4 linked regions of the Stegostoma tigrinum genome follow. The protein of the gene in region 1 purifies or fractionates together with the protein of each later gene. This does not show direct contact. Links are inferred from orthologs where the notes say so. Each region holds a gene or a part of one and is shown on either strand. Other genes may lie near its edges.

Evidence for each region.
Region 2: the proteins of cdc37 (region 1) and ryk purify together in Homo sapiens (affinity purification with mass spectrometry; 3 studies listed by BioGRID and IntAct, with this or other methods). This does not show direct contact. The link is inferred for Stegostoma tigrinum from reciprocal best matches to the Homo sapiens genes CDC37 and RYK.
Region 3: the proteins of cdc37 (region 1) and aurora kinase C-like purify together in Homo sapiens (affinity purification with mass spectrometry; 3 studies listed by BioGRID and IntAct, with this or other methods). This does not show direct contact. The link is inferred for Stegostoma tigrinum from reciprocal best matches to the Homo sapiens genes CDC37 and AURKA.
Region 4: the proteins of cdc37 (region 1) and yes1 purify together in Homo sapiens (affinity purification with mass spectrometry; 3 studies listed by BioGRID and IntAct, counting the BioPlex papers as one, with this or other methods). This does not show direct contact. The link is inferred for Stegostoma tigrinum from reciprocal best matches to the Homo sapiens genes CDC37 and YES1.

Annotation. Positions count from the first base shown.
Region 1 is NC_081388.1:22,687,691-22,695,562, reverse strand, and holds the start of cdc37 (hsp90 co-chaperone Cdc37), read right to left. Parts: upstream 3,004-7,872; 5' UTR 2,913-3,003; coding exon 2,811-2,912; intron 1-2,810. UniProt on the Homo sapiens protein: Co-chaperone that binds to numerous kinases and promotes their interaction with the Hsp90 complex, resulting in stabilization and promotion of their activity. Inhibits HSP90AA1 ATPase activity.
Region 2 is NC_081367.1:1,145,001-1,152,103, forward strand, and holds the start of ryk (tyrosine-protein kinase RYK), read right to left. Parts: upstream 3,001-7,103; 5' UTR 2,894-3,000; coding exon 2,740-2,893; intron 1-2,739. UniProt on the Homo sapiens protein: May be a coreceptor along with FZD8 of Wnt proteins, such as WNT1, WNT3, WNT3A and WNT5A. Involved in neuron differentiation, axon guidance, corpus callosum establishment and neurite outgrowth.
Region 3 is NC_081372.1:47,185,477-47,193,000, forward strand, and holds the start of aurora kinase C-like, read right to left. Parts: upstream 3,003-7,524; 5' UTR 2,890-3,002; intron 1,434-2,889; 5' UTR 1,419-1,433; coding exon 1,377-1,418; intron 1-1,376. UniProt on the Homo sapiens protein: Mitotic serine/threonine kinase that contributes to the regulation of cell cycle progression.
Region 4 is NC_081358.1:79,796,591-79,803,840, forward strand, and holds the start of yes1 (tyrosine-protein kinase yes), read right to left. Parts: upstream 3,004-7,250; 5' UTR 2,654-3,003; intron 1-2,653. UniProt on the Homo sapiens protein: Non-receptor protein tyrosine kinase that is involved in the regulation of cell growth and survival, apoptosis, cell-cell adhesion, cytoskeleton remodeling, and differentiation.

The sequences.
Region 1 (7,872 bases):
TTTTTTACAACAATTGACAGTACAATGGTTACTATTAGTTTAGCTTTCTAATTCCAAAGTTCAAAACTTCACCTACCATGCCCCCAGAATATTACCCTGGGGCTCTAGATTATTAGTTCAGTGACATGGCCACCTTGCCAGTGAATATTGCTGTACAATGATCAAAGTCCCAGATTCAAGACTCTCCAGCCTCCTCTCCCCAAAGGTTAAAAGGAGTGGCACCTGTTTTGTCTGGAAACAGACCCCCTAATGAAAAGGCTAACGAGAAGGAGACTTCCTTTCTGAAGTCTGTGATTCGATTGTTCAACATGGTCCTTGTACTCCATCAAGGTCATTGTTTTTCAGCTTCATCACATCAGATCAGTTCCGGCATGACATGAATGTGTTCAACAACCTCACCATATCTGAAGCTTTTGTTCAACCAGCTATTCGCTCAGACTCACCAGATTTAAATAAACCAAGCATCTCAAGTTGGAACAAATGTACACAAGACTTGACACCAAGAAAACAAACCATTCCTACATACTTATCTATAGCTTCACTTTGAAGCCGAATGAGGGATTTCTGCTCAACATACATTGTGGAGGAAAGAATACAACAAGTACAAAATAAAGTATGCTGCTAACAAAGTTACAATATTCTGCTAGGAACCCAAAAACCACAATTTTCATCATTCTAAAAAACTGTGACACCAGAAAATTAACTATTAAAATGGTCCCAACTGATTTTAAAAGGCAGAGTAAGAAATAGTCATGCTGACCAATACAATTCGAGTGTTATATTTCAGGATTCAGTATGATCTTCCACAAGCTATGCTAGAAGGTGTTAACTTTTTATGGGAATACAGAATGACAAGAAAGAAAAAAAGAGTTTCTCTCAGCAAAAGATATTGGAGCAGAACTAGGCCATTCAGCACAGTGTGTCTGCTCCACTACTCAGTCATGGCTGATAATGTCTCAATACCACTCTCTTGCCTTCTTCCCTGATCCCCTCACTGATCAAGAATCTACCTGTCTTAAAGAGAAAGAATGACTAGGTCTCAACAGCTTTCAGCAACAATAAGTTACACAGATTCACCACCCTCTGGCTGAAGAAATTTTTCCCAGTCTCAGTTCTAAAGGGTTATCCCTTCATTCTGAGTTTGAGCCTCAGGTCCTCACCTTTGCTACGTGGTAACATCTTATCTACACCCATTCCATCCAGACCTCTTAACATTCTCCAAGTTTCAATGAGAATCCCCCTTCATCCTTCTGAAATCCATGTAGTACAGACTCAGACTCCTCAACCATTGCTCATACGACAAGCCCATCAGCCCTGGGGTCACTCCTGTCAGTCACCTCTGGACTGCCTCCCAAGACAATACATCCTTCCGTGGATACGAAGTCCAGAATTGCTCACAATACTCCAGATGTGGTCTTGCCAGAACTTTATACAAACACAACAGCACATCTGCACTCTGGTATTCCAATTCATTTGAAACGAAAGCAAATATGTCCTCCTAACTGTAAAATGAGCCTGCATGTCAACAGAATCCTGAACTAGGATGCCCAAGTCCCTTTGTGCTTCAGATTTCCGAAGCCTTTGGACATTTAGAAAATATTGTGCTAGCAACCCAAAACCGCAATTTCAAATCATTCTTGTTAGGAAATTGTGACACCAGATGATTAACAATTAAAGACGTCCAACTCATGTGAAAAAGGCAGAGTAAGTCACAGTTGACTCTCTATTCTTCCTTGTGTTGCATTTCACCAGCTACTTTGGTGCACACTCATCCAGTCGGTCCAGGTCCTTCTGTAGATTCAGCACCTCCTCAACACTATCTGCCTCCATCGATCTTAATATCATGTGCAAAAGCATAGACTATGGCCATGCGGTATTATTGCTGGACTGTTAATGCAGAAACACAAGTAATGTCTTGGAGACCCAGGTTTAAATCCTGTCACAGTAGATGTGGAATTTGAATTCAATAAAAAAATCTGTAATTAAGAGTCTAATGAAAATCAAGAAACTATTGTCAAGTGTCAGAAAAACCCATCTGGTTCAGTGATGTCCTTCAGGGAAAAGAACTGGCATCCTTAGCCAGTCTGATCTATACGTGGCTCGAGACGCAGAGTCATGTGGTTGACTCATAAGTGGTGTCTAGACAATTAGGATGGGCAATAAATCCCATCTCATCCCAAGCATGAATAAACAAAAAAAAAGACCAAATATGCCATCAGTTTCTTTGTTAATGCATGACATGAATAGCTGCGGTCCCAACACTGAGCTGTGAGGAAGTCCACTAGTCAGTGGCTGCCATCCTGAAAAAGGGCCCTTGAGCCCCCAACTCTGCCTGGAGAGCCAATCCCCTTTCCGTGCCCTAACACCATGGGATCCTACTCAGAGACCTGTGCAACACCTTGTCAAAGGTCTTGTGGAAATCTAAATGGAGGGATCAAGAATTTCAGGTAATGAAAGGAGTGTGGGCAGGGTGGGGGTGGACGAGGAGGTGGTGGTGGACGAGGAAGTGGTGGTGGGGGGTGGTGGACGAGGTGGTGGGGGGAGGAGGTGGTGGTCGGGGGGTTGGAGGTGGGCTGGTGGTGGTGGTGGGGGTTGTGGGGCGTCGCCGCTGGAGGGAAGGCTGTTGGGAGGTCGGACAGAGGGGAACGAAGTCTACCGAAGCGGCGGGGGGGTCAATCCGGGACTATTTGAAGGAGATGAGGATGGGGGGTGTATCAGGGCCCGGGGGTTTAAGAAGGTGATGGGGACGGGATAGATGGAAGCCGGCCCTGGTGGTGGGGGGAATGGAGGTGCCCGGCCCCGGAGTTTACCTGGTGCCGCCAGCGGAACAGGCTGGCCGTGTCAATGTTCGGGTGGGTGTCGTCCTCATCATCCGACACCTCGATATGGTCCCACACGCTATAATCCACCATCGTTTCCCCGTCTCCAATTGTCCCAGGCCCAGCTTCTAGAACACTCGCTGGGCCGCCTCTCTACACGTCACTTCCGGACACACGTCACTTCCGCCGACTGTCACCGCCCAGCTCCATGATGTCAACGTCTCCCTTGTCGGGACGGCAAAACCAGTCCCGAGGATCAGAGATAATGGGAACTGCAGATGCTGGAGAACCCAAGATAACAAAGTGTGGGGCTGGGTGGACACAGCAGGCCCAGGAGCAGACCCCGGCCCCAAAAATCAGTCCCGCCCTAAAATCAATCCCGCCCCAAAATCCAGTCCCTAAAATCAGTCGCGCCCCAAAAACCAATCCACAGGATCGGAACCCCTACCAACATCCAGTGTACAGGAATTAGACCACCCCAAAAACTGGCCACAGGAATAGACCACTCCAAAAACAGTCCATAGGATCAGACACCCCCAAAAATCTATCCGTGGGATCAGACACCCCCCAGAAACCAGACCACAGGATCAGACCCCCCCCTCAAAAACCTCCAAAAACCAGTCCACAGGATCAGTCCCAGCCCAAAATCCAGTCAACAGGCTTATACCCCCTCCAAAAACCAGACACTACGAACAGAGCCCCCCCCCGCCAAAAAACCAGTCCACAGGATCAGACCCCCTCTCAAAAACTAGTCATCGGGATCAAACACCTCCAAAGACCAGTCCACAGGATCAGATCCACCCCAAAAACCAGTCCCTAGGATCAGACACACCCCTCCCAAAATCCAGTCCCAAGGGTCAGACAGCCCCTCCCAAAAGCCAGTCCCAAGGATCAGACACACCTCTCCCAAAATCCAGTCCCAAGGGTCAGACACCCCCTCCCTACAACCAGTCCCTAGGATCAGACACCCCCTCCAAAAACTAGTCCCTCGGATAAGACACCCCTCCAAAACCCAGTCCCGAGGATCAGGCACACCCCCAAAAACCAGTCGCTCGGATCAGACAACCCCCCCAAAACCCAGTCCCTACGATCAGACCCCCTCCCAACACGGAGTCCCTCTGAATCAGACACCCCCCGACAAAAACCAGTCCCTTGGATCAGACCCCGCCCCATTAAACCATACGCTCGGATCAGACAACCCCCCAAAAAACCAGTCCCTCGGATCAGGCACCCCCCCAAAAACCAGTCCCACGGATCAGACAACCCCACCCCAAAAACTAGTCCCTCGGAATCAGACCGCCCCTCCCAAAAACCAGTCCCTCGGATCAGACACTCCTCCCAAAAACCAGTCCCTAGGATCAGACACCCCCCTCCCAAAAAGCAGTCCCTAGGATCAGACACCCCAGCCAAAAACCATTCCCTCGGATCAGACCCCCCCTCCCAAAAACCAGTCCCTAGGATCAGACACCCACTCCCAAAAACCAGTCTCTAGGATCAGACACCCCCTCACAAAAACCAGTCCCTTGGATCAGACACCCCTCCCAAAAACCAGTCCCTAGGATCGGACCCTTCCCCCCAAAACCCAGTCCACACGATCAGACACTCCCCCCACAAAAACCAGTCCCTCAGATCAGAACACCCCAAAACCAGTACCTAGAATCAGAGATAATGGGAACTGCAGATGCTGGAGATTCCAAGATAATAAAATGTGAGGCTGGATGAACACAGCAGGCCAAGCAGCATCTCAGGAGCACAAAAGCTGACGTTTCGGGCCTAGACCCTTCATCAGAGAGGGGGATGGGGGGAGGGAACTGGAATAAATAGGGAGAGAGGGGGAGGCGGACCGAAGATGGAGAGTAAAGAAGATAGGTGGAGAGAGTGTAGGTGGGGAGGTAGGGAGGGGATAGGTCAGTCCAGGGAAGACGGACAGGTCAAGGAGGTGGGATGAGGTTAGTAGGTAGCTGGGGGTGCGGCTTGGGGTGGGAGGAAGGGATGGGTGAGAGGAAGAACCGGTTAGGGAGGCAGAGACAGGTTGGACTGGTTTTGGGATGCAGTGGGTGGGGGGGAAGAGCTGGGCTGGTTGTGTGGTGCAGTGGGGGGAGGGGATGAACTGGGCTGGTTTAGGGATGCAGTAGGGGAAGGGGAGATTTTGAAACTGGTGAAGTCCACATGGATACCATATGGCTGCAGGGTTCCCAGGCGGAATATGAGTTGCTGTTCCTGCAACCTTTGGGTGGCATCATTGTGGCAGTGCAGGAGGCCCATGATGAATCAGACCAGTCCACAGAATCAGACACGCCCCTAAAAACCAGTCCATAGGGACAGACTCCCCCCAAAACCCGGTCCCGAGAATCAGAACTCCCCAAAACCAGTCAATTTGATCTGATCCCTCCAAAAATTGGTCCATAGGATCAGAACCCCCTCAAAACCCAGTCCTTCGGATCAGACGGCCAAAAAAACAAGTCCATAGAATCAGACCCCACAAAAAACAGTCACTAGGATTGTAAACACCCCCGCCAAAACCAGTCCACAGGATCAGATCCACCCAAAAAAGAGTCCCTAGGATCAGACCCACCGCAAAAACCAGTCCACAGGATTATACCACCCCAAAAAAACCAGTCCCAAGGATCAGACAGCCCCAAAAATCTATCCGTGGGATCAGACTCCCCCCAGAAACCAGACCATAGGATCAGACCCCCGCCCTCAAAAACTAGTCATCGAGATCAAACACCTCCAAAAACCAGTCCCTAGGATCAGACACCCCCTCCCAAAAACCAGTCCCTCGGAATCAGACACCCCATCCCAAAAACCAGTACCTAAGATCAGACACCCCCCGCCCAAAAACCAGTCCCTAGGATCAGACCCGCCCCCAAAAACCAGTCCCACAGATCAAACCCCCCTCCCAAAAACCAGTCCCTTGGATCAGACCCCGCCTCCCAAAAACCAGTCCCTAGGATCAGACACCGCCCTCCCAAAAAGCAGTCCCTAGGATTAGACGCCACCCCCAAAAACCAGTCCCACGGATCAGACACCCCTGCCAAAAACCATTCCCTCGGATCAGACCCCCCCTCCCAAAAACCAGTCCCTAGGATCAGACCCCTCCAAAAACCAGTCCCTAGGATCAGACCCCCCTCCCAAAAACCAGTCCCTCGGATCAGACACCCACCAAAAACCAGTCCCTCGGAATCAGACACACTCCTCCGAAAAATCAGTCCCTCAGAATCAGACACCCCCCCCCCCACCAAAACCAGTCCCTTGGATCAGACACCCCCCCCCTAAAAACCAGTCCCTCGGATCAGACACCTCCAAAAATCTATCCGTGGGATCAGACACCCCCCAGAAACCAGACCACTGGATCAGACCTCCCCCCTCAAAAACTAGTCATCGGAATCAAACACCTCCAAAAACCAGTCGCTAGGATCAGGCACTCCTCCCAAAAACCAGTCCCTAGGATCAGACACCCCCTTCCCAAAAACCAGTCACTCAGATCAGACCACGCCCCCCAAAAACCAGTCCCACGGATCAGACACCCCTCCCAAAAACCAGACTCTCGGATCAGACCCCTCCCTCCCAAAAACCAGTCCCTCGGATCAGACACCCCTCCCAAAAACCAGTCCCTAGGATCAGACACCCCCTCCCAAAAACCAGTTCCTCGGATCAGACCCCTCCAAAAACCAGTCCCTCGGAATCAGACACCCCCCTCCTAAAAACCAGTCCCTAGGATCAGACCCCCTCCCAAAAACCAGTCCCTAGGATCAGACACCCCATCCCCAAAAGCCAGTCCCTCAGAATCAGACCCCCGACAAAAACAAGTCCTTCAGAATCAGATCCCCCTCATAAAAACCAGTCCCTCGGATTCACACACCCCCCTCCCAAAAACCAGTCCCTTGGACCAGAACCCCCCTCACAAAAACCCGTCCCTAGGATCAGACCACCCTCCCAAAAACCAGTCCACAGGATCAGACACACCCCCCCACAAAAACCAGTCCCTAGGATCAGACCACCCTCCCAAAAACCAGTCCACAGGATCAGACATACTCCCCCCCCACAAAAACCAGTCCCTAGGATCAGACCACCCTCCCAAAAACCAGTCCACAGGATCAGACACACCGCCCCCCAACAAAAACCAGTCCCTAGGATCAGACCACCCTCCCAAAAACCAGTCCCTAGCATCAGACACGACCCCAAAAAGCCAGTCCACAAGATCAGACTCTCCCCCCACAAAAACCACTCCCTCAGATCAGAACTCCCCAAGACCAGTACCTAGAATCAGACTAGTCCACAGGATCAGACACGCCCCTAAAAACCAGTCCATAGGGTCAGACTCCGCCCAAAAACCTCTCCTGAGAATCAGAACTCCCACAAAACCAGTCAGTTGGATCGGATCCCTCCAAAAATTGGTCCATAGGATCAGAACCCCCCTCAAAACCCAGTCATTCGGATCAGACGGCCAAAAAAAGTCCATAGGATCAGACCCCACAAAAACCAGTCACTAGGATCATACCCCCCCCCAAAAGCAGTCAATTGGATCTGACCCCCTCCCAAAAACAGTGCATAGGACAGAACCCTCCCCGCACAAAACCAGTCCCTAGGATCAAACTCTCCCCATAAACCAGTCCAGAGGATATAACCCCCGCAAAAAAGTCCACAGGATCAGACCGCCCCGCACCCCCCCCCCCCAAAACAGTCCATAGCATAAGACCCTCCCAGAACCGGTCAAGAGGATCAGATCCCCTCAAAAAACAATCAATAGGATCTGACATTAAGCCCCACAAAAAATACCAGTCAATAGAATCGGAACACCCGAAAACCTGTCCCTAAGATCAGATCCCTCTAAAAAAAACCATTGGATTAGAACCCCTCGAAAAGACAATCAATAGAATCAGACACCCACCCCAAAAAAACCCAGTCAATAAGATCAGAAGCCCCTAAAACCAATCCCTAGGATCAGGTCCCTCTAAAAAAAACAATCTATAGGATCAAAATCCCCCAAAAGACAATAGGATCAGACACCCCAAAAAAAGCCAGTCCATCGGCTCAGACCCACCCCCAA
Region 2 (7,103 bases), on another chromosome or scaffold:
TTAATCGTGAGCCTCACCCTCTTCTACTGACCCCTTCCCCTGCCTCCAACACACCCCCTCTTCCTGGATATCACCCCAAGGCCTCCTATCCTCCCTCAACCTCTTCGTCTCCAACTCCTGTCGAGACATCAATCGCCTCAACCTCTCCATCTCTCTCACCCTGTCCAACCTCTCCCCGACAGAATGCACAGCCCTCCACTCCAATCCCAACCCCACCATAAAACCCACAAACAAGAGAGGCGCAGTTGTAGTATGGCGCACTGATCGCTACATCGCCGAGGCCAGACACCAGCTCTCTGACACCTCCTCCTACCGCCACCTTGATCATGACCCCACCCCCCGACTACCAAAACACCATCTCCCAAACCATCCACAACCTTATCACTTCAGGTGACCTCCCACCCACAGCCTCCAACCTCATTATTCCCCAACCCCGCAGCGCCCATTTCTATCTCCTTCCTAAAATCCACAAACCTGACTGCCCTGGTCAATCATTGTCTTCTCCTGCTCCTGCCCCACCAAACTTATCTCAACTCTATTTTCTATCCTGTGGTCCAGAAACACCCCACCTATGTCCTTGACACCACCCATGCCCTCAACCTCCTCCAAAACTTCCAATTCCCCAGTCTCCAACACCTCATTTTAACATGGGCGTACAGTCCCTATACACTTGCATTCCCCATGCAGATGGCCTAAAGGCTCTCTGCTTCTTTCCCTCCCACAGGCCCAACTAGTCCCCCTCCACTGACACCCTCATCCACTTAGCTGAATTCATCGTCAACAACTTCTTTTTCAATTCCTCCCACTTCCTACAGACAAAGGGGGTGGCCATGGGTACCTGCCTCTTTGTAGGTTACATGGAACAATCCCTCTTCCATAGCTACACTGGCCCTAAGCCCCACTACTTCCTCCGTTACATTGATGACTGTATTAGTGCTGCTTCATGCTCCCACGGAGGAGCTCGAACAGTTCATCGATTTGACCAACACCTTCCACCCCAACCTTAAGTTCACCTGGGCCATCTCTCCCTCCTTCCTGGACCTCTCTGTTTCCCTCTCTGGCAAACACCTGGCAACAGATATCCATTTCAAGTGCACCGACTCCCACAGCTACCTGGAATACACCTCCTCCCACCCACCTTCCAGCAAAAATGCCATTTCCTATTCCCAATTCTTTTGCGTCCACCACATCTGCTCTGAGAATGAGGCATACTACTCCCGAACATCTCAGATGTCCTCATTTTTCAAGGACCGCAACTTTGCACCCCGCCCCAACCAATGGTTGAGAACACCCTTGGCTATGTCTCCCACATTTCCCGCAACGCATCCCTCACATTCCCCCACACCCCACCCCACAACAACAACCAAAACAGAATCCCCCTCGTCCTCATGTATCTCCTCCAACCTCTGGATCCAAAGTATCATTGTCCGACACTTCCGCCATCTGCAAGCTGACCCCACCACCAAAGACATTTTTCCATGCCCACCCTTATCTGCCTTCTGGAGGGACCACTCTCCCCGTGACTCACTTGTCCATGCCACACACCCCTCCAGCGCCACCACACCCAGTATTTTTCTCTGCAACCGCAGGAAGTGCTACAACTCCCCCCTCACTTCCATCCCAGGCCTCAAGAAGACTTTCCACATGCATGTTCACCTGCACATCTGCTAATGTGGTATACTGTATCTGCTGTTCCAGATGAGGCCTCCTCTGCATCGGGGAAACCAAGCAGAGGTCTGGGGACTGCTTTGCAGAACACCTACACTTGGTCCACAATAAACAACTGCACCTCCCAGTCGTGAACCATTTTAACACCCCCTCCCACTCCTTAGATATATCCATCCTGGGCCTCCTGCAGTGCCACAACAATGCTACCCAAATGTTGCAGGAACAGCACCTCATATTTCACTTAGGAACCCTGCAGCCCAATAGTATCAATGTGGGCTTCACAAGCTTCAAAATCTCCTCTCTACCTATGGCATACCAAAACCAGCCCAGCTTGTCTCCACCTCCCTAATCAGTCCTTTCTCCCACCTATCCTGGGACACTACTCGTCCCACCTCAAGCCCCAACCCCATCTCCTACGTACTAACTTCATCCCACCTCCTTGAACAGTCCGTCCTCCCTGGACTGACCTATGTTCTGGGTGTGAGTTTGCTCGCTGAGCTGGAAGATTAGTTTTCAGACGTTTCGTCACCATTCTAAGTAACATCATCAGTGAGCCTCCGACGAAGCCTATGTTCTCCCTAACTCGCCACCTCCAATCACCTTTACTGGCTCCATCCCCGAATCCCTGACTTGTCTGTTTCCTTGCCCACCTATTTTCTCCTCCATCCATCTTCTCTCCGCCTCCCCCTCTCTCCCTATTTATTTCAGAATCCCCTTCTTCTCCTCCCCTTCTGGAGGAGGATCTAGGCCCGAAACGTCAGCTTTCCTGCTCTTCCGCTGCTGCTCGGCCTGCTGTGTTCATCCATCTCTACACGTTGTTATCCCCTCAGTAAGTATTTACTAAGGTTCTTTAGGCAGTAGCATCCACACCAACGACTACCATCGATCCCCTCTCCCCTAGCCCCATACCCGTTTTCCTCGTACCCACTGCCGTCTCATCAGGTCCTGCCCCGTCTCTCCCCGCCTCCCACAGGCCACGCCCCCAACATCCCCCCCCCCCTACCCAAACCCCAGCAGATACGACGCCCACCCTCCACCCGAGCCCCAATTCTCCCGTGGGCCCAGACGCACCGATCAGCCGCCGCGTCTCCTCCACGCTCAGGTAGACGTTGACCCCGGGGCCGCCTCGACACACGGTGTCCGAGCAGCAGCTCCACAGCACCAGCAAGGCCCGCCAGAAGTTCATGGATGCGCCCCGGCCAGCAGCGGCGGTGGTACCCGCCATTGCTGAGCGGCGTTTTCCTGATTCTGTGTTCGTTACGGGCTGTTACACGCGCCGGGGATCGACCAACCGCCTCTCCGTTCCTCCATGGCCGCGTCCAACACGGCGCGCATGCGCCAGGGCCGGATCCGTTTACTGAGCATGCGCACTCGCTGGCCCTGGCAGGCAGTTGGCATGTTGGTTCGTCCCTGGTTTGATAGGTTGTCTCTGAACAAAAGATGTCTGTGCAGGTAGGAACCACCAAAGTACTGGTTTGAAGGGATTTTCCCCAAATAACAGCGGGTAGGGGAAAGGCGTGAAGCGTGAAGTCAGACATGCGTGCAATAAGGGTTAAATTTGTTCGGGTAATTTTACATCTCCAATACCTAACTTACAAACCTGCCAGAAGAAAAGTATTGAAGCCTGAGCATTGGGAACGTTTTATACTTCATCAAAATGAGAACAGAGAGGTCGACAGCACAGAATATGACAATAACGCTACAAGGAAAATAAAATGAGTAAAATTGCGGATGATGTGAAAGTTTCTTTTAATGTGTGAAGAACCAACAGATTCGTAAAGACAAACATAGGTCCTCAGAAGGCAGCAGCTGGTCAAATTACAGTAGAGCAGAAAGAAATATAAGAATTGAACTTGTACTTCAAGTCTGTTTTCATGGAAGGAGGCATAAATAACTTCCTAGAAATGTTAGGGGATCAGGGTCTAGCGAGAGGATAGAATTGAAGTATATCGTTATTAGAAAGACAATGATGCTGGGGAAGTGAATGGTGTTAAAGGGTGACAAATCACCATGGCCCAATGATCTATCATTCACTGACTCCATCTATACATCTACCAAAAACCCCAACCACCCATTTAAACTCTCTTGCACTATCTTCTGTTGGGCAGGAGATATTGAAATTTGAATAAGCATATAAACAGATTCAAGTACAACTTGTTCCTGCTGTTATCAGATTTTTGATGGTCCCCTCAAGTGTTGATTCTGAGCTCATTCTCTCTCCACCTCCTCTGTGGTTGTAATACTGTCTTCTGCAATCTGTCTGCCTTCCAGGTGCACTTTCTATGGTATGGACTGCAAAAGAGCATTTTTCACTGTATCTTGATACATGTGACAACAATACATTGAATAATAAACTCCAGAATACAAAAGGAAGTGGCCCTGGAAACATTAGATGCATGCTGGTTAGCTTTCAAATTCTATAGATTTTGGAACAGTCCCTACAGATTGAAGAGTGGTAAATGTCGCCACTGCAAAAATGGATGGAGAGAAAACACAGGGAATTATAGACCAGGGAGCCCGACATCAGTAGTGGGCAACACACTATGGTCCATTATCAAAGATTTTAAAGCAGAACATTTAGAAAACAATAATTGATCAGACACAGTCAGCATGGATTTACAAAAAGGAAATTGTGCTTCGCAAATCTAAAAAAATTTCTCCAGGATACAACTAGTAGAATGGATAAAGGACAGACTGTGCATGTGGTGGTTTTGGATTTTTTGGAAGGCTTTTGATAAGGACCAATGTAAGAGATTAAAGGGGAAAATCAAAGCACATGAGATTGGGAGTATTGGGGACAGGAATACACAAGGATAACAGAGATAGCAAGTCAAAATAAATCAGCCCTATAATCACTGGATATGCAATAGAGTGAAATTAAAATATTCAGTGACCCTCAAAATACCCAATTGTTCCTAAACAGACTTTGTGAAGATCAGATCTAGGACACCAAGATTGTAACTTAAAAATTAACAGTTTATAATTAGTACTGTAACTTTTTACAGAACAATACTAAACAACAATGTAATCTAATGAATATCCATGATTTAAACACAACTTTTTTTGTTTATAATCAACAGTCTCACACCACCTGGCAGACTGACAGACAGAATTAACAGATAAATTGAAAAGAAAGCAAAAATTATAATTTTCCACTTCAGTTTGAAATCTCACAACACCAGGATATAGCCCAACAGGTTTATTTGAAAACGTGCTTTTTGAGCCTCACTCCTCCTTTAGGTGTTAGTAAAAGAGGTAGTATTACACACAGAATTTATAAGTAAAAGATCAAAGTGTCTGACCTTGTCCACTCCAGTCCAACACTAGCATCTCCACATCACCACTTCAGTTAACCAGTTTCAAACAATAGACATCAAGCCTTCATGCAATCCCTGGACAAGGAGTTATTCACGGGTGTGTGACTACAGGTCTAATTTCAAGATAATTGGTTAATATTAGCAGTTTCAGTAGACTTCCTAATTGTTTACTTTTTTCCTCGCAGACTGTGATTCTTTTGTCTGAATATTCAACAATTCTTTAGATTAGATTCCCTACAGTGTGGAAACAGACCCTTCGTCCCAACAAGTCCACACTGCCTCTTGGCGCATCCCACCCAGACCCCAACCCCTGATAACCCACACACTCTGAACACTATGGGCAACTTAGCATGGCCAATCCACCTAGCCTGCACATCTTTGGACTGTGGGAGGAAACTGGAGCACCTGGAGAAAACCCACGCGGACATGGGGAGAATGTACGAACTCCGCACAGACAGTTGCCCAAGGCTGGGATTGAAACCAGGTCCCTGGCGCTGAGAGGCTACAGTGCTAACCACTGTGCCGCCCCAATTTAACTGGATGCAGAATAGTACAGAAGCTTCCAAAATCACTCTGCACCTCACAAAACCAAACAGAACTAGTTTTCTTTTTTTCCTTTTTGGATCAATTATCTCTTTGGGTGCTGATTAGATTCGGTTCTCTTTTGATTGACCAATTCAACATCTGACTAGCTGCCAGCCCTCGGCATAGCAATGCTTGCTGCCAAATCATCTACAGTATTCCTTACATCCACAATTAGAGTCATAGAGCTGTACAGCACAGAAACAGACCCTGCTGTCCAACTCGTCTATGCTGAAAAGATATTTTAAATAAATCTAGGCCCATTTGCCCACGTTTGGCCCATATTGTCGAAACACTTCCTGTTCATGCACCCACACAGATGCCTTTTAAATGTTTTAATTCTACCAGCCTCCGCCATTTCCTCTGGAAGCTCATTCCAGACATCACGACCTTCTGCATGAAAAAGTTGTCCCTCAGGTCCCTTTTAAATATTTCCCCTCTCACCTTAAACCTATGCCCTCTAGTTTTGGATTCTTCTCCCTGGGGAAAAAGCCTGGTCTATTTATTCTATCCATGCCCCTCATGACTTTATAAACCTCTGTAACGCCATCCCTCAGCCTCTGACACTGCAGAGAAAATAGCATAAGCCTATTCAGCTTCTCCCTGTCGCTCAAATCCTTTAAAAACAAAGTTGTTGGAAAAACTCAGCAGGTCTGGCAGCATCAATGAAGGAAAGAAACAGAGTTAACAGTTCGGGTCAATGGACACGAAACGTTAACCCTGTTTTTTCCTTCACAGGTGCTGCCTGACCTGCTGAGCTTTTCCAGCAACTTTGTTTTTGTTCCTGATTTGCAGCATCCACAGTTTTATTTTTGGTTCTCAAACCCTTCAACCCTGGCAACATCCTTGTAATTCTGTCTGAACCTTTGCAAGTTTCAGAACATTTTTCCGAAAGCAGGGAGACCAAAATTGCGCTCAGTTTTCCAAAAGTGGCCTAACCAATGTCCTGTACAGCTGCAACAGGACTTACCAACTCCTTTACTCAATGCACTAACCAATGAATGAAAGCATATCAAACTTCTTCTTCACTATGCTATCAATCTGTGATTGCACTTTCAAGGAACTATGAACCCACACTCCGAGGTTTCTTTGTTCAGCAACACTCCCCAGGACCTACACATTAAGTGCATAAGTTATGCCCTGATTTGCCTTTCCAAAATGCACCACCTTACATTAATCTAAATTAAACTCCATCTGCCAATTGTTGGCACATTGGTCCATCTGATCGACCAGGTCAGTTGTCAACAGCAAACACATACGTTTGTTTTTTTTTTCACTAAAACTCACAACAGTTGAAAGTTTAAGAAATCCAAATCTCAGTTCATGTGTGCGCCAAAAAAGAGAAAAATAAAAGAAAAATCACGCAGGTCTCTACAGTAACATCGAGGCATGGATTGAAATTTGATTGACGGGAAACATAGACTGGGAATAAATGGGCCTTTTTCCGAATGGAAGACTAGTGAGGTACAATAATAGTCAGTACTTGAGCCCCAGCTATTAACTTCATATGAAAATGACCTAGATGGGGCTGACAAC
Region 3 (7,524 bases), on another chromosome or scaffold:
TTTTGTGCTCCTGAGATGCTGCTGGGCCTGCTGTGTTGATCCAGCCTCACATTTTATTATCTTGGATTCTCCAGCATCTGCAGTTCCCATTATCACTCATTCTTAGATGTAATGCCTTAGAGAAGGCAATTTTTCAGAAGCATTAAGGTTTTGTATTACTGAACAATATCCAATCAGGTGCTGGATCCACTGCTTTTTGTCATTTATACAAGTGACTTGGGTGTGAATATAGGAGGCATGCTAAGTAAGTTTGCAGGTGACACCAAAAATTGGTGGTGAAGTGGACAGTGAAGGTTGCATCAGAATACAACAGAACGTTGTAAGGATGGGCCAAGGAGCAGCAGATGGAGTTTAATCTATATAAATAGAAGGTCCGACATTTTGTTGGAGCTAAACAGGACAGGGCTTACACAGTTAATGGCAAGATCCTAGGGAGTGTTGTCAAAAAACCTTAGAGTAGATTTATGGTTCCTTGAAGATGGAATCACAGGTAGACAGGCTAGCAAAGATGAAATTTGTATGCTTGTCTTCAAAAGTCAGTACACTGAGTATAGGAGATAATGGGAACTGCAGATGCTGGAGATTCCAAGATAATAAAATGTGAGGCTGGGTGAACACAGCAGGCCAAGCAGCATCTCAGGAGCACAAAAGCTGACGTTTCGGGCCTAGACCCTTCATCAGAGAGCTCTGAAGGGTCTAGGCCCGAAACGTCAGCTTTTGTGCTCCTGAGATGCTGCTTGGCCTGCTGTGTTCACCCAGCCTCACATTTTATTATCACTGAGTATAGGAGTTGGGACAGGTTGTGGCTACTTTTGAAATACTATATTCAACTCTGACCTCCTTGATTATAGGAAATGTTGATGAACTTGAAAAGCTTCAGAACAGACTAAAGGATGTTGCCAGGGTTGGAGGGTTTGAGTTACAGGTTGGGGCTGTTTTCCCCTGGTGTGTCAGAGGCCAATGGCTAACGTAATAGCGGTTTCAAAGGTCACAAGGGGTATGGATAGGGTGAATAGTCAAGGTCCCAGGGTAAGGGAGACCAAAACTAGAGGACATAGGTTAAGGCAAAAGGGAAAAGATTTTAAAAAGACAGCTTGTTCCACAGAAGGTGGTCATGTCTGGAACAAACTGCCAGAGGAACTGGAGGAGGCTGGTATAATTGCAACATTTACAAAGATATCTGGATGAATTATGAACAGGAAGGATTGAGGTTCATGGGCCACATGCTGGCAAAATGGGACGAGGTTTATTTGGCATGCATAAGTTGGACCAAAGATCTATTTCCCTGCTGTACATCAATGACTGACTACTAAGTTATTCAACAGTTTATTTCCATCATAACCATTAATTAATATTTCAATTGGCAGCAAAAATACCTTTCCAGCATGTCCTCCTTGGCTTGCAACCCTTTTTTCCATTTGTAATCTAAAATCCTGCAAGTGGAAATTAAAAAGTTATTATACTGTATTAGGCTATTTGTAATATTCTCTCTGGAGGTCAGGTAGCTGAAGGCTTGAATTTCCACTGCAGAACTTAAGCTATCAAAGCACAAGTCACAAAATATGATTTCCTGAATCCAGTAGAAGCAGCTCTGGGTAGCAGCAACCAAACACATACAGTTTCCTAGAGAAGTATTTTCTAGGTCAAAACCCACTGGGTATCTGTCCCAATGAAATAGCCTGAAACAAAACCCTGTGTGCTTAACAGAATTAAAATTTAGATCTATTTATGCACATATTAGCAGTTAACAAAGCCATTTCCTCCCTGTAAGTTTTCTCATTCGTCACATCCATAGACTTGTACTTGGTGGATAGAGATAGCACAAATTAGAAAACAGAAGTGTATAGTGATTCCTGCTGCATTTTATTGCAAGGGCTTGAATAAAAAAAACTACTACTGAAAAAGAAAATCCCACAAAACAGGACCGCCTCACACAAGTTAAAGTCTCAACAGCAGCCGCGTTTCATGCTGTAAATTATCCTCCTAACCCCACCAATCCAGCTGGTCTGTGCTGTAGCAGACATGTTTTTTGGCGATAGGCCAGCATCAGCACCACTAACGACAAAAGTCTGCGCAGTCACTGCATACTAAGAGTTACTCTGCTTTTTCTCCACAGACGCTATCAGGCCTGTAGAGTTTTTCCAAGCAGTTTCTGATTTTGATCCCATACGTTTCTCACGCCAATCTCCACACAAGAGTAAAAAGAGACAAAACTTGTAACTGATTGAAGTTATCATGCAGAGCCATGAGTAATACTAGATGAACGCTAAAACTCAAAGAAACGAATTTGCCACGCAATTAAATTAATCCAGCCTAAGAAAAAAAAGAGATTGCGTCCCACGATGTACCAGCAATATAAACTTCAGCTCAGAGCAAAGCAAGTGAAATTTTCTCGGCACCCATTAATATCTCCGAAGTGCTGCTGCTACTTCTAACAGAGTAGCCAGTATTGATCACTGGCCGAGTTAATATTAAGCCATTAAGAATTTGAAAGGCTAAGTAAATTACACAAATACACCACAATCGAATGCTACGTGGAAAATCCCAGCGGAGGAGTGATATGGCGTCTCGACATTCAGGGAAGACAGGGCTGAGCCCCCACTTTCTCATCCCCCAGCTTGACCTTGACACACAAGTTAGGGCATGATTGAAGGGCAAGGGGCAAGGGCAATGGGGAATATCTCTCCCTCAGATTCAGGGAGATTGGAGCAAAACTGAAGATGGCTACACCAGGGCCCCAAAGGCACAGGAAAGGGTAACCAGATCACGGTTAAGAACACAGACTATAGCGAGGTGGGAGGCCTTTTCCAGCCCCAGCACTGAAGAGGCGACGAACCAAAGTCCTCTCCCCAGGCCCCCAGACTACCCCCTCCTTTACAATCAACCTACCTCCCACTCTCTGCCTATCTCACCGCCCGTTTCACTCTGCTCCTTCTACCGTTTAAATTCAAATCCACCGCACTTTAAGCCCATTTAACAGAGCCCGCGCTTCAATTGGACGACGCCTGCCCGTCGCTCGCTCGCTATTGGCGGTTCTTCAACGGACTGCCGCAGGCCGACGGTTACGTCATCGCGTGCATGCGTACTGTCACGTGATGTGCCGGCGTTCCCTTTCTCCCAGCCTGGAAATTGACACATGCGCAGACGTAGAGGTGTCAGGAATTTGTGATTTGAATGTTACGCAAGGAGGTCATCTAGGCCTTTTTGCCTATAGTTTCCTGTAAAGCTGATGTTTACTTAGTTCTATCGTGTGTTCTTTTCCACCATATTTTAAATATTTATCGTTATCAGTCACATTTTTTAAACTGTTATGGATTTTGCTTCACCCACAGTTTCTGGTAGGCCATCCTCCTTTCCTGCATGAAAACAGAATATCTTAAACGGCCCCTTTCTTTTTCCTAAATATCTATCCTTTATTCAGTACTCAGTAAAAACGTTTTTTTTCGAATTTTTAGCAAGGCTTATGATTTTTAACATTAAATTTGAAAGGAAGAACCAGGAAGTTATTAATTTAGCCCTGAGATAGTAGGAACTGCAGATGCTGGAGAATCCGAAATAACAAGGTGTGGAGCTGGATGAACACAGCAGGCTAAGCAGCATCTTAGGAGCAGCAAAGCTGACGTTTCGGGCCTAGACCCTCCCTGGTGGGATATAAATTATTTTACTGTATTCCTTCTGATAAAGGGTCATGAACCTGAACTCTTTACAAATGACTGCTGAGTATTTAGTTTATTTTTGGCTGTGCATTATGTGTAACACAAGGTTCTTAATTCTGTATCATAATCACATTACCATAGAATCTGAATGTAAAGAACTGATACATAACAGCTTTGCTTTAATTTTGTTTCTCTCCTGCAGTGGAATGTGATGATCTTCTCCTTATCTATTCAAATCATTGCCATTTATAATTGTTACTGGATATATGCTCCCATTGTGAAACAAGGAAACCTGATTATTAGTTGTGTGCCTGGTCTCTTAAATATAACAATAAACCAGCAGAGATATTGCACATGACTTTATTTTGTTATCTTTGCCTTTGTGAAGGATTTTACAGGCTTTCATAAGAAACTGAGACAATTTATAAAAGTAATTAAAAAACTACGCTGGCCCTAGACCCCACCTCTTCCTCCGTAACATTAATGACTGTATCGGCACTGCCTCATGCTCCCACGAGGAGCTCGAACAGTTCATCCACTTCATCAACACCTTCCACCCAACCTCAACTTGACCTGGACTATCTGTAACATCTCCCTCAACTTCCTGGACCTCTCTGTCTCCATCTCCGGCAACCACCTAGAAACTGATATCCATTTCAAGCCCACCGACTCCCACAGCTACCTAGAATACACCTCCTCCCAACCACCTTCCTGTAAAAATACCATCCTCTATTCCCAATTCATTCGTCTCCACCACATTTGTTCCCAGGATGAGGCATTCCACTGCCGTACATCTCAGATGTCCTCGTTTTTCAAGGACTGCAACTTCCCCCCACGCAGTGGTCGAGAACACCCTCGACCATGTCTCCCGCATTTCCCGCACCTCATCCCTCACACCCCGTTCCCGTGATAACCACCAAAAGAGAATCCCCCTCGTCCTGACGTACCACCCCACCAACCTCCTGATCCAACGCATCATCCTCCGACACTTCCGCCATCTACAATCTGACCCCACTGCCAATGACATTTTTCCCTCTCCACCCTTGTCTGCTTTCCAGAAGGACCACTCTCTCCGGGACTCCCTTAACCGCTCCACACTCCCCTCCAACCCCCCCACCACATCCGGCACTTTCCCCTGCAACTGCAGGAAGTGCTACGCTTGCCCCCACACCTCTTCCCTCACCCACATCCCAGGCCCCAAGAAGACTTTCCACATCAAGCAGATGTTCACCCACACATCTGCCAATGTGGTATACTGTACCCATTGTGGCCTCCTCTACATCAGGGAAACCAAGCAGAGGCTTGGGGACTGCTTTGCAGAACACCTATGCTCGGTTCATGATAAACAATTGCACCTCCCAGTCATGAACCATTTCACCTACCCCTCCCATTCCTTAGACGACATGTCTATCCTGGGCCTCCTGCAGTACCGCAACAATGCCACCCGAAGGTTGCAGGAACAGCAACTCATATTCCGCTTGGGAACCCTGCAGCCCAATGGTATCAATGTGGATTTCACTAGCTTCAAAATCTCCTCTCCCCCCACTGCATCCCAAAACCAGCCCAGCCCGTCCCCACCTCCCTAACCTGTTCTTCCTCTCACCTATCCCCTCCTCCCACCTCAAGCCGCACCCCCATTTCCTACCTACTAACCTCATCACGCCCCCTTGACCTGTCCATCCTCCACGGACTGACCACTCCCCTCCCTACCTACGCTCACCTCTACTGGCTCCATCCCCGCCTCTTTAACTTGTCTGTCTCCTCTCCACCTATCTTCTCCTCTATCCAGGGTATTTCAGAACCCTCTCCCCTTCCCCCATTTCTGACGAAGGCTCTAGGCCTGAAACGTCAGATTTTCTGCTCCTAAGATGCTGCCCGGCCTGCTGTGTTCATCCAGCTCTACACTTTGTTAAAAACTGAAGCCTCTATGTGTTCATCTCATCCTTTGCACAATTTGTCGCATTTATGATCTTTCCTTGCAAGGGCGTTCGGGTCATATAGGGTCTGATATGTTGCTAAGTACAGGTTGGTATAATGCCTGATACCAGTGGATTTTGTCAGTGTTTTAGCTGCACTTCAGTGTACCTGAGTGTGGGGGATTGGAACCTAATGTGTGAATATCAGCATCAGAGAATGCATCTCCCTTTGACTATGGGGTTAGTTTACCTTCCCATGGTCTACTGAAACTGCAGCAGGAGGATTGCAGAAACCCAAAGGAAATGGCATTTACATTGCTTGATAACAGAGTGTTGAGCTGGATAAACACAACAGGCCAAGCAGCATCTTAGGAGCACAAAAGCTGACGTTTTGGACCTAGACCCTTCATCAGAAAATGATAGAGAATTCTGTACATTTGCTATCCTCTGAGTGAAAAGATTTCTGACCATCTCAGTCCGATATGGTTTGCCCTATATGCTGGAATTGTGAATGCCTTGGTTGGACATGACCCTCCAACCTCCCCTCATCCCCCACCAATCTTTTTTCTCACCCCCAGTCAGGGAAACCTCATCTCTACATCCAGTCTGTCCAGCCCTGTCAGAATGTTATACATTTCAATGTGATCCTCACTCATTCTTCCAAGCTCCAGTGGATACAGGTCTAGTTAGTTCAGTCTGTCCTCAAAAGACAAAGATGCCATTCCAGGAATCAGTCTGGTGAACCTTTGCTGCACTCCCTGTATGGGAAGTTTTTTTTATGTAAAAAGACCAAAGCTGCGAAGAAGATGCTGAGTGTGGTCTCAACCAACCCATCCATTGCTTATGAGACCTCTCAAAACACCAGCAATTAATCTGAGGTGCATGTACTCACTACCATCAAAAACATTTGGTAATGTGGGTGACATCAATATAGAATATGAAAGGTTTCTAAGTTTTGTTGTTTCATGATGTTTCAATAATTTGTCTTGCAAAGTGACATCTTCACAAAGCCTGCAGAGAATGAAGGGCTGCAGGTGTAACAAGGTAATGGAAGAAACCCTCTGCTGTGAGCTAGAAAAATATGTGCACCTGTCACACAAGAGACTGTCTTAGCTGAACATATATCCTCATTATGTCTACACTTAACACTCATGTCCATATTCTTACCTTTGAACACAATGCATAAAACTATCATTTATTTAACATTTTATTTTAAATCTTCCATGGAATATGGGCATTGCCCATCTTTTATTGCCTATGCCTAATTAAGAAGGTCGTGGTGAGCTGTCTTCTTGAACCACTGTGGTTCATGTGCTGAAAGTAGACCCTTAACAGTACTAGGGAGGGAGTGCCAGGATTTTGAACCAGCGACATTGAAAGAATGACAATATATTTCCAAGTCAGGACGGAGAGCAGCTTGGAGAGAAACTTGGACGTATTGATGCTCCCATTTAACTACTATCCTTGTCCTTCTAAATGCAAGTGGTCGTAGGTTTGGAAGGTGTAGTCTAAGGAGCCTTGGTGAATTTCTGCAGTGCATTTTGGAGGTTGCACATTCTGCTACTACTGAGTATCATTGGTGGAGATAGTGAATGTGGTACCAAATCAAATTTATCCAGGATCATATCAAGCATCTTGAATGTTAATGGAATTGCCCATATCCAGGCAACTGGGAACTGTTCCATCACACTTCTGACTTGTGTCTTTTCAAAGGTATCAGGAGGTAAGACAGTCCCTGCAGGACTCTTAGTGTGTTAATTTGGATAGTCCAGTTAGGTTTCTGGTCACTAGTAACCCCCAGGATATTGATAGTGGGAAATTCATGTTGAAGCCCATTTCCAGACTTAGACACGTACACTCAGCACATCCAGCAACTAGGGTGCAATTGTATTTTTAAATCTTCAAAAAATCCACTCCTACTACTTCCTACCACTGTGTTTGATCTGTGTTGT
Region 4 (7,250 bases), on another chromosome or scaffold:
ATGTTATATAAAGAACCCGGTTTTCTTTATTAGAATACAGGAATACACCATTTTAAGAAATAAATATGCCCCAGGAAACCACTACTTAAATTGAAGCTACTTAGATGAAAGTAGATTTTATCACCTAAATGTATCACATATGAGGAGATGCTTTTACAATCCAAGACAAATGCCTTCATTATAAACATTAAAAACAAAACAATATAGTTAACTTTCTACACTAGCAGTCATGTGACAAACAAACAATCAGAACAAATTTTGCTTTTCCCGATCACTATGTCCATGACGCTTCAGGGATTACCTACTCTGACATGTACAACCGATCTGGACATTGATCTCCATTAATGGACAGCTTCGCAACCATTGTCTCCTTTCTGCAATGCTGATGACCACTCTCCAGATGAACAGATTGCTGACCAGGGCTGTCTTGCTCACAATGTTCTGTTTCACCATCATATTGGAAGTCCAAGAAATTTGTAATTTGGAAGTGATCAAGGCTGGAGCTGTCAGGCACCTTGTCAACCTCCTGTGGCTCTGATCTCCAAGAAATTGTACATCACTGTCTAAAGAGGCTTTAACCATTCCTCTACTAGCACTGTTACTACAATGGACCATGAAAGCAAGCATTAGGTACAGCAAATAGTTAGGAAAGTAAATGGCATGCTGTCCTTCATTGCAAGGTAGGCTTAGTGTGGCTGTAAAGCACCTTCGTGAGACATCACTTACAATAGTGTGTGCAGTTCTGGTGGCCTCATTTAAGGAAATTTACAATTGCCAGACAGGGAATACGGTTAAAGGTCACCAGACTGATTGCTGAGATACAAAGTTTGTCATACGAGAAGAGATTGGGTTTAGAAGAATAAGACTGAATCTCAGTGAAGTGTGTAACATTATGACAAAGCGGGGTTCCTACAACAATGGCACATGGTTTTCAGATACAGATTAAGGATTTTTGGGCTGAAAGCAGAAAAATGACTTCAAGAAGTGGTAAACATATACCATTCTCTATCATGTAACACTGTGAAAGTGAAGTTGCTAAGTAATTTAAAAAAGAAACAGATAAGTTACCAGACACAGGCATTAAAGGGTATGGGGAGGGAGCACAAGGGAATGACATTAAAAAAGGATCAGTCATGGTCATTTCAGACAATATACTTTTGGTCTAATTTCAATGCATAACCCTCAGTCCAGATCCATTCTAAGGTATCTTGATCATCAAGGTCAGGGACAAAGAAAACCAAAGCCCAAGTTGTTTCATTCAGCTGGATACTATGAAAACAGTCAAGTTTTACACTCATTCTCAACTATTTCATAACAAGGCATTAAATATGTGGAACCAATAGCTAGATGGTAATTTAACGGCTTAATAACACTACTCAAGAGTGTATGGATGAACAAGGAACAAACAAATTACTGTGAATTTTAACATGTTAAAACTTGCATATTTCAAAATACAGGCCATGTTATCATTTAAAAAGATCACGAAATACATTTTATCATTTGGTCCTAAATTAACTGGTTCTCCCACTTTAATAAGTTATATCCGACCAGCAAGTTGAAAACTATTTTAATGAGTGTGTACTAACTGTGGCTTATAAACCCATAGTTAAATCAGACACCCATGAATGACTAATGTTGTATATAACAAATATGTTTAGGGAGGGGTTTCTGCTGTGACAAACCTAATTTAACCAAAGCAAATAACTTACACAAGTCTTAAATAGATGGGTACACCAAAATCAGTAAACATCATACAACAATCCACAAGAACAGAACCAGTTTTTCCAGAAACAGTTATGCATTCCAACTTTTAGAAGTCCATGTCAGGAACGTACACTTGTAACTTCAGAAATTTTCAGCAGTAAAAATCACTCATTTTGCATCAATATGAGGCACAATGACACGAAGGTACCTAACCTGAAAGCCAGATTTTTGACAGACTTGAATAATTCACACAATCCGTTGAAATGCAGAATTGAGGGATTGCTGCATTACTCAAGGTACTGTCTTTTAAATAAAAGATATAACCAAACTGCTTCTATTATCCAACATGTGGATGTAAAAGACAGAGGGGCAGGGAACTCTTTGGCATAATGACATTCAATCCCTGCATCGACAACAACAAATATTAATTGGTCACTTATTTCAATATGCCATTACAGAGGATTTGTTCTGCACAAATGGATAGGTACGGAGTGGAAACTTGAGTGGAGAAATTAGCAAGTGGGATTAAAATTCATAGCCTAGCTGGAGATTAGCAACCAAAGGTGAGAATGGAGAATGGGGTGACATAACGGTTAGTGAAAATAGGATAGGATGAGGTGGAGGTGGGATAGGGATATGAGGAGGAGTCAGGGTGGGTTGGGGATAGCGTGTGAGATGGCAATAGATTTGAATGGGGCAAGGGAATTTGTGGGACTGGGGGGCTGCTGCAGGGGAGGAGAGCGAAAATGGGAAGCGACAGTTGAGAGAACGCGGGCGAGGGCTGATGTTGGTAGGAGGTGGAGAGGCAATGGAGGTGGAGTAATCGTGGATTGAGGAGTATGGAGGATGTGGAAGGGGTGAAGTTGGGGGGGGGGGGGGGGTACAGACCCTTTCCGGAGACAGGGACTCCAGTAGCTCGCAATCAAAACCGGGCCAAGGCGTCACTCACCTGCTCTCCAGTCGGGACTCGGTCGTCTCCTCACATCCACATCACTTTAACAACTCTTCTGGCAGCCGAGTGGAGAGGACGGAGTGGCTCCACCAAATGATCCGATCAGCTCGGCGCTAGGCCCGACTCACAGGTCCTCCGTTATCATCATCATCATCATCACCTCATTCCCGAGCCAGATCCACACGAAACAAACAGCTAGAACCGAACTTAAACCTCCCAAACACAAGATCCGTATTCCAAATCTAAACCATACTCACAGCAGCGCCGACTATCTTAAAGATGCAAAGCTTTCACTACAAGATGGCGGCTCCTCAGGGAGCAGAGACCGCCTCCGCCTTTGCCCCGCCCTTCCACCATCGGCCCGCCCATATGGCCCCACCTCTTCCACCAGCTGCACCGCACGCACGGCTCCGCCCCCTCCACCGTCGGCCCCGCCTCCTCGGCCCGCCCTCATGATCACGCCCCTTCAACACCAACCCAGCCTCGGCTTCGCCTCGACCGCGGCCCCGCCCCTCCATCTTACGTCCTGCGTCACTCCACCCCCACTGCTCATGGCACTTCCGCCTCTATCCACTCGCCCAATATCCCATTCGTGGACCTGCAAACCCGCCCAGACACGCCCCTTAACTAATGTCTCCAGTTGTGATCCCGCCCCACCAGCTTCGGATCCGGTCCGCACCGCACCCTGTCCCCTACAACGACGAACTGCTGGATGTTTCACATTTTGCCGTTGTTGTTCTTTTGTTAATTAAACAGGTTGGATGAGGAGGTGGGAGTTATAGTGATGAGGAATGCAAAGATGAATGTTTGAAATTTGACTTGTTAGTGAACAGAGAATCAGTGTAGAGAACGAGTGATAGGCGAATGTTGAAGATAAGTTCACGTTGAAGAAGTTTGAAGGCCAGTGAGGACAGTTTTGCAATAGTCACGCCACTGGGTCTGGTTCTGAAGGATGTGGGAATAAATGAGACAGACAAGGGTTGAGCAGCTTCCTTTCGAACCATAATTCCGTAACTCTGGCATTCTGTCTTGGGATATTTGTGTGTTGAAGGATGCTGGGCAACCTATTTTCTGATGAAAACAGATATTACTGGAAAAACTCAGCAGGTCCATTTTGGAGACAAATCAGAGTTAAAATTTCATGTCGCGTGACCCTTCGTCAGAACCTATTCTCTTTTCCATCTGAGTGTAAGAGGACATCTGGCTGTTTTCACAGTACTTTTAATTTTACAGTTGAAGATTGTAAAATAATAACAAATCATGCTGGAGATCTGAAACAAAGAGAAATTGTTGGAGAAATAAAGCAGGTCTAGCAGCAGCTGTGGAAAGAAAGCAGAGTTAACATTTTGAGTTTGGTGACTCTTCATCAGAAACGGTAGCACCTAGAAAATCTGGTATTTATCCAGAATCTGGGTGAAGGGGTCTGGGTAAGGGGAGCGGTGAATGGATAGTTGGACACAGAGCCCAGAGGGAGTGAGACAAATATGAAAGAGATAGGTAAATGAGGAGATTATTGATAGCAGGCGAGAACAGAAGAAAACCTGAATAAGGGATAATGAATAGCTAAGAATGAGAAAATGGGTGAGCTGTTCTGAGTGCAACACATATATGACAATAGGCCCAGAAGTACGTGAGAATGAGTGACTTGTGCTAAAAGTAAACTATATCATAACAGAACTGGATATGGAGCATGTCATAAACAATGAAGATGGAATCATGCTCTCTGAAGTTATCAAATTCACTGTTGGATCCTAGAGACTGCAGGATCCCAAAGTGAAAAATAAGATGTTGTTCTTTGAGTTTGCTTTGAGGCTTGCTGGGACCTGCAGCAGGCCTGCAATAGAAACATTGGTGTGGGGCATAGAGGTTTGTTGAAGAGGCAGGCAGCTGGAAACTCTCCTGTGGAATGTGGCATCATCAGAGCAAATGTGAAGAAAGAAAAAGAAACTGGGAAAATGAGATGGAGCCATTACAGGAAACGGGGTGTGAGGATGTATAATTGAAGTAACTGTGGAAGTTGGTGGGTTTGTAACAGATATTGGTGGCCAGCCTATACCCAGAAATGGGAACTGAGATGTCAAGAAAGGGAAGAGATGAATCAAAGATGGAAGGGATGAAAGTGAGGACAGGGTGGAAATTGGAAGCAGAATTGATACATTTTTCTAATTCCAGATAAGAGGGGGAAACAGCACCGATGATGTCAACTATGTACCAGAGAAAAAGTTATGGGTGGGGGCCAGAGTAGGAATGTTCCATGTACCCCACAAACAGATAGGCATAACTGGGACCCATAGCCACATCTTTAATCTGAAGAAAGTGACAGGAGTCAAAGGAGGAGTTGTTCAAAACGAAGATGAACTGTGCCAGACAAATGAGGATGGTGGTGGATGGAGACGGTTCAGGCCATCTTTCCAGGAAGTTGTGGAGAACCTTGAGACCATCATGATGGGGAAATAGGCATTAAGTGGATACATGTCCGTGGTGAAGAGGAAGTGGCTGGAGCCTGTGAACTGGAAATTTTGAAACTGATGTAAAACATCACAAGAATTGTGGATGTAGGTGGGGAAGGACTGAACAGAAAAAATTAAAAATCAGGAAGAGGTTCTTAATGTAACTTTATGCAATTTATTGTGTAATAGCAATCAGGTAGTTAGCCATTGCTATTCAGACAATTGGGATACATTGATGATAAATCTGCCTCCTTCCAAATCAGAGCTGTTCTCCCAATTTCCCTATCCAGGACTCCAGACCATCATCAGGTTGTGTGTAGCTAATGCAGCCATCTTTAACCCTTTTAGAACATTTACCTTAGACAATTGCAAATGCTTTGAACCTTAATAGATCTGGGACCAAAGTTCTACAAAGTGTTTTGCTAATGCTTTGGCACAGGCTTTAAACTGATTTGACCAGGGGAATGGGAATGAGGATGTAAGGTTAGGAAGGATAAACAAAGGTGCACAAATTGGTAGGAGCAGATGACATAACATTAAGAAGTAATATTAGAAGTCATAATAATAAAGTCTTAGGTCAGGTCAAGATATAATAAAATACATTTTAAATCTGGCCTTGTCTGATGTTGGATGTTCTTGCTGTAGTTCAGTGAAGGTTAATCAGGCTGATTCCATGCATGGCGAGACTGATGTAACAGGAGAGGTTGAATAAATTTGGATTATATTTGCTGGAATTCAGAAGAATGATTGACTATTTCATAGAAACCTATAAAATGCTAACAGGACTTTACAGGGTAGATGCAGGAAGGATGTTGTTGATGGTGGGGATCCCTAAACCAGTAGTCACAGTCTAATGATGTGAGTTAGGTCTGAGAAGAGAAGATATTTCTTCACACAGCAAGTGATGAGCCTGTGGAATTTACAATCTCCAAAAGCAGTGGAGGCCAAAACAATGTGTGTTATAAAAGTGCCAGAAGTATTAAAAGGCATAGCTCTAGCACTGAGAAGGTCAAGACTAGCAAACAGATGGAGACAACGCCATCTGCAAGTTCCTCCTCCAAGGTCTAACTTGGAACCATATCTCTGGGCCAAAAATCCTGTACTTGTTTCCAGCAGCACTCTGGATGTATTTATACTACATCACGACAGCAATTCAAGAATATAGCTCATTTCTGCTTTCTGAAGATCAGTTAGCAATGGGTAGCAGATGCTGCCTTTGTTGACACTACCCACATCCCATGAGAGAATTAAAACAATTAAAACATCCAAGTGGGGCGATGGAACAGGGTTGAACGTAGACAAATGAAAGACAACCTTGTTGGAACATTTAAGATTCTCAGGCAATGATCAGGGTAGATATGGAAAGGTTGCATCCTCTTGTGGGCGAGTCTAGAACTAGCGGGCCTAGTCTCAGAGTAAGGGATTGTCCATATAAGATAGAGATGAGGAATGTCTTCTGTCAGAGGGCAGTAAATCTGTGGAATTCTTTACGACTGAAGACTGTTAGGGCTGAGTCATTAATCATATTCAAGACTGAGATAGACATTTCTAATCAATGAGGGAATCAAGAGTTATGGAGAAATGCCAGGAAAGTGGAATTGATGATTATTAGATCAGGCACAATCTCATTGAAGGGTGGAGTAGCGTAGCCTCGTTGAGCTGAATGGCGTACATCTGCTCCTATGACTTGTATTCTTATGGAGACCTGAGGCTATACATGCACAAAATCAGTGAAGTTGGTAAGACAGATTAAGAGAGTAGAAAAAAAAGTATTTATGAGTTTCTGTGCTTTGTAAATAGAGGCATATAGAGTACAAGAGCAAGAAAAAGATATGATCTTTTGTAAAATTTTGGGTTGACTTCAATTGGACTTGCGTCCAATTCTGGACACTGCAACTTAGAAAGGATGTGAAAACTTCAAAAGAATGATTTCAGGATTACAATTAGTTTGGAGCTTAAAGAAGAAATTTCACAGAAATGTTCAAAGGGTTGATCATCTGGTATGAATGGAGAGAAACCCCTGCCACTGGCGTCAGGTTGACAATCCAAAGTTACTGAAATTAGGTGAGTGGTAAGAAAAGAAACAACATGAAAAAAAAATCTTCGTTAGCAGCAAGTAGTTAGAATTTAGTATTTATTGGTTA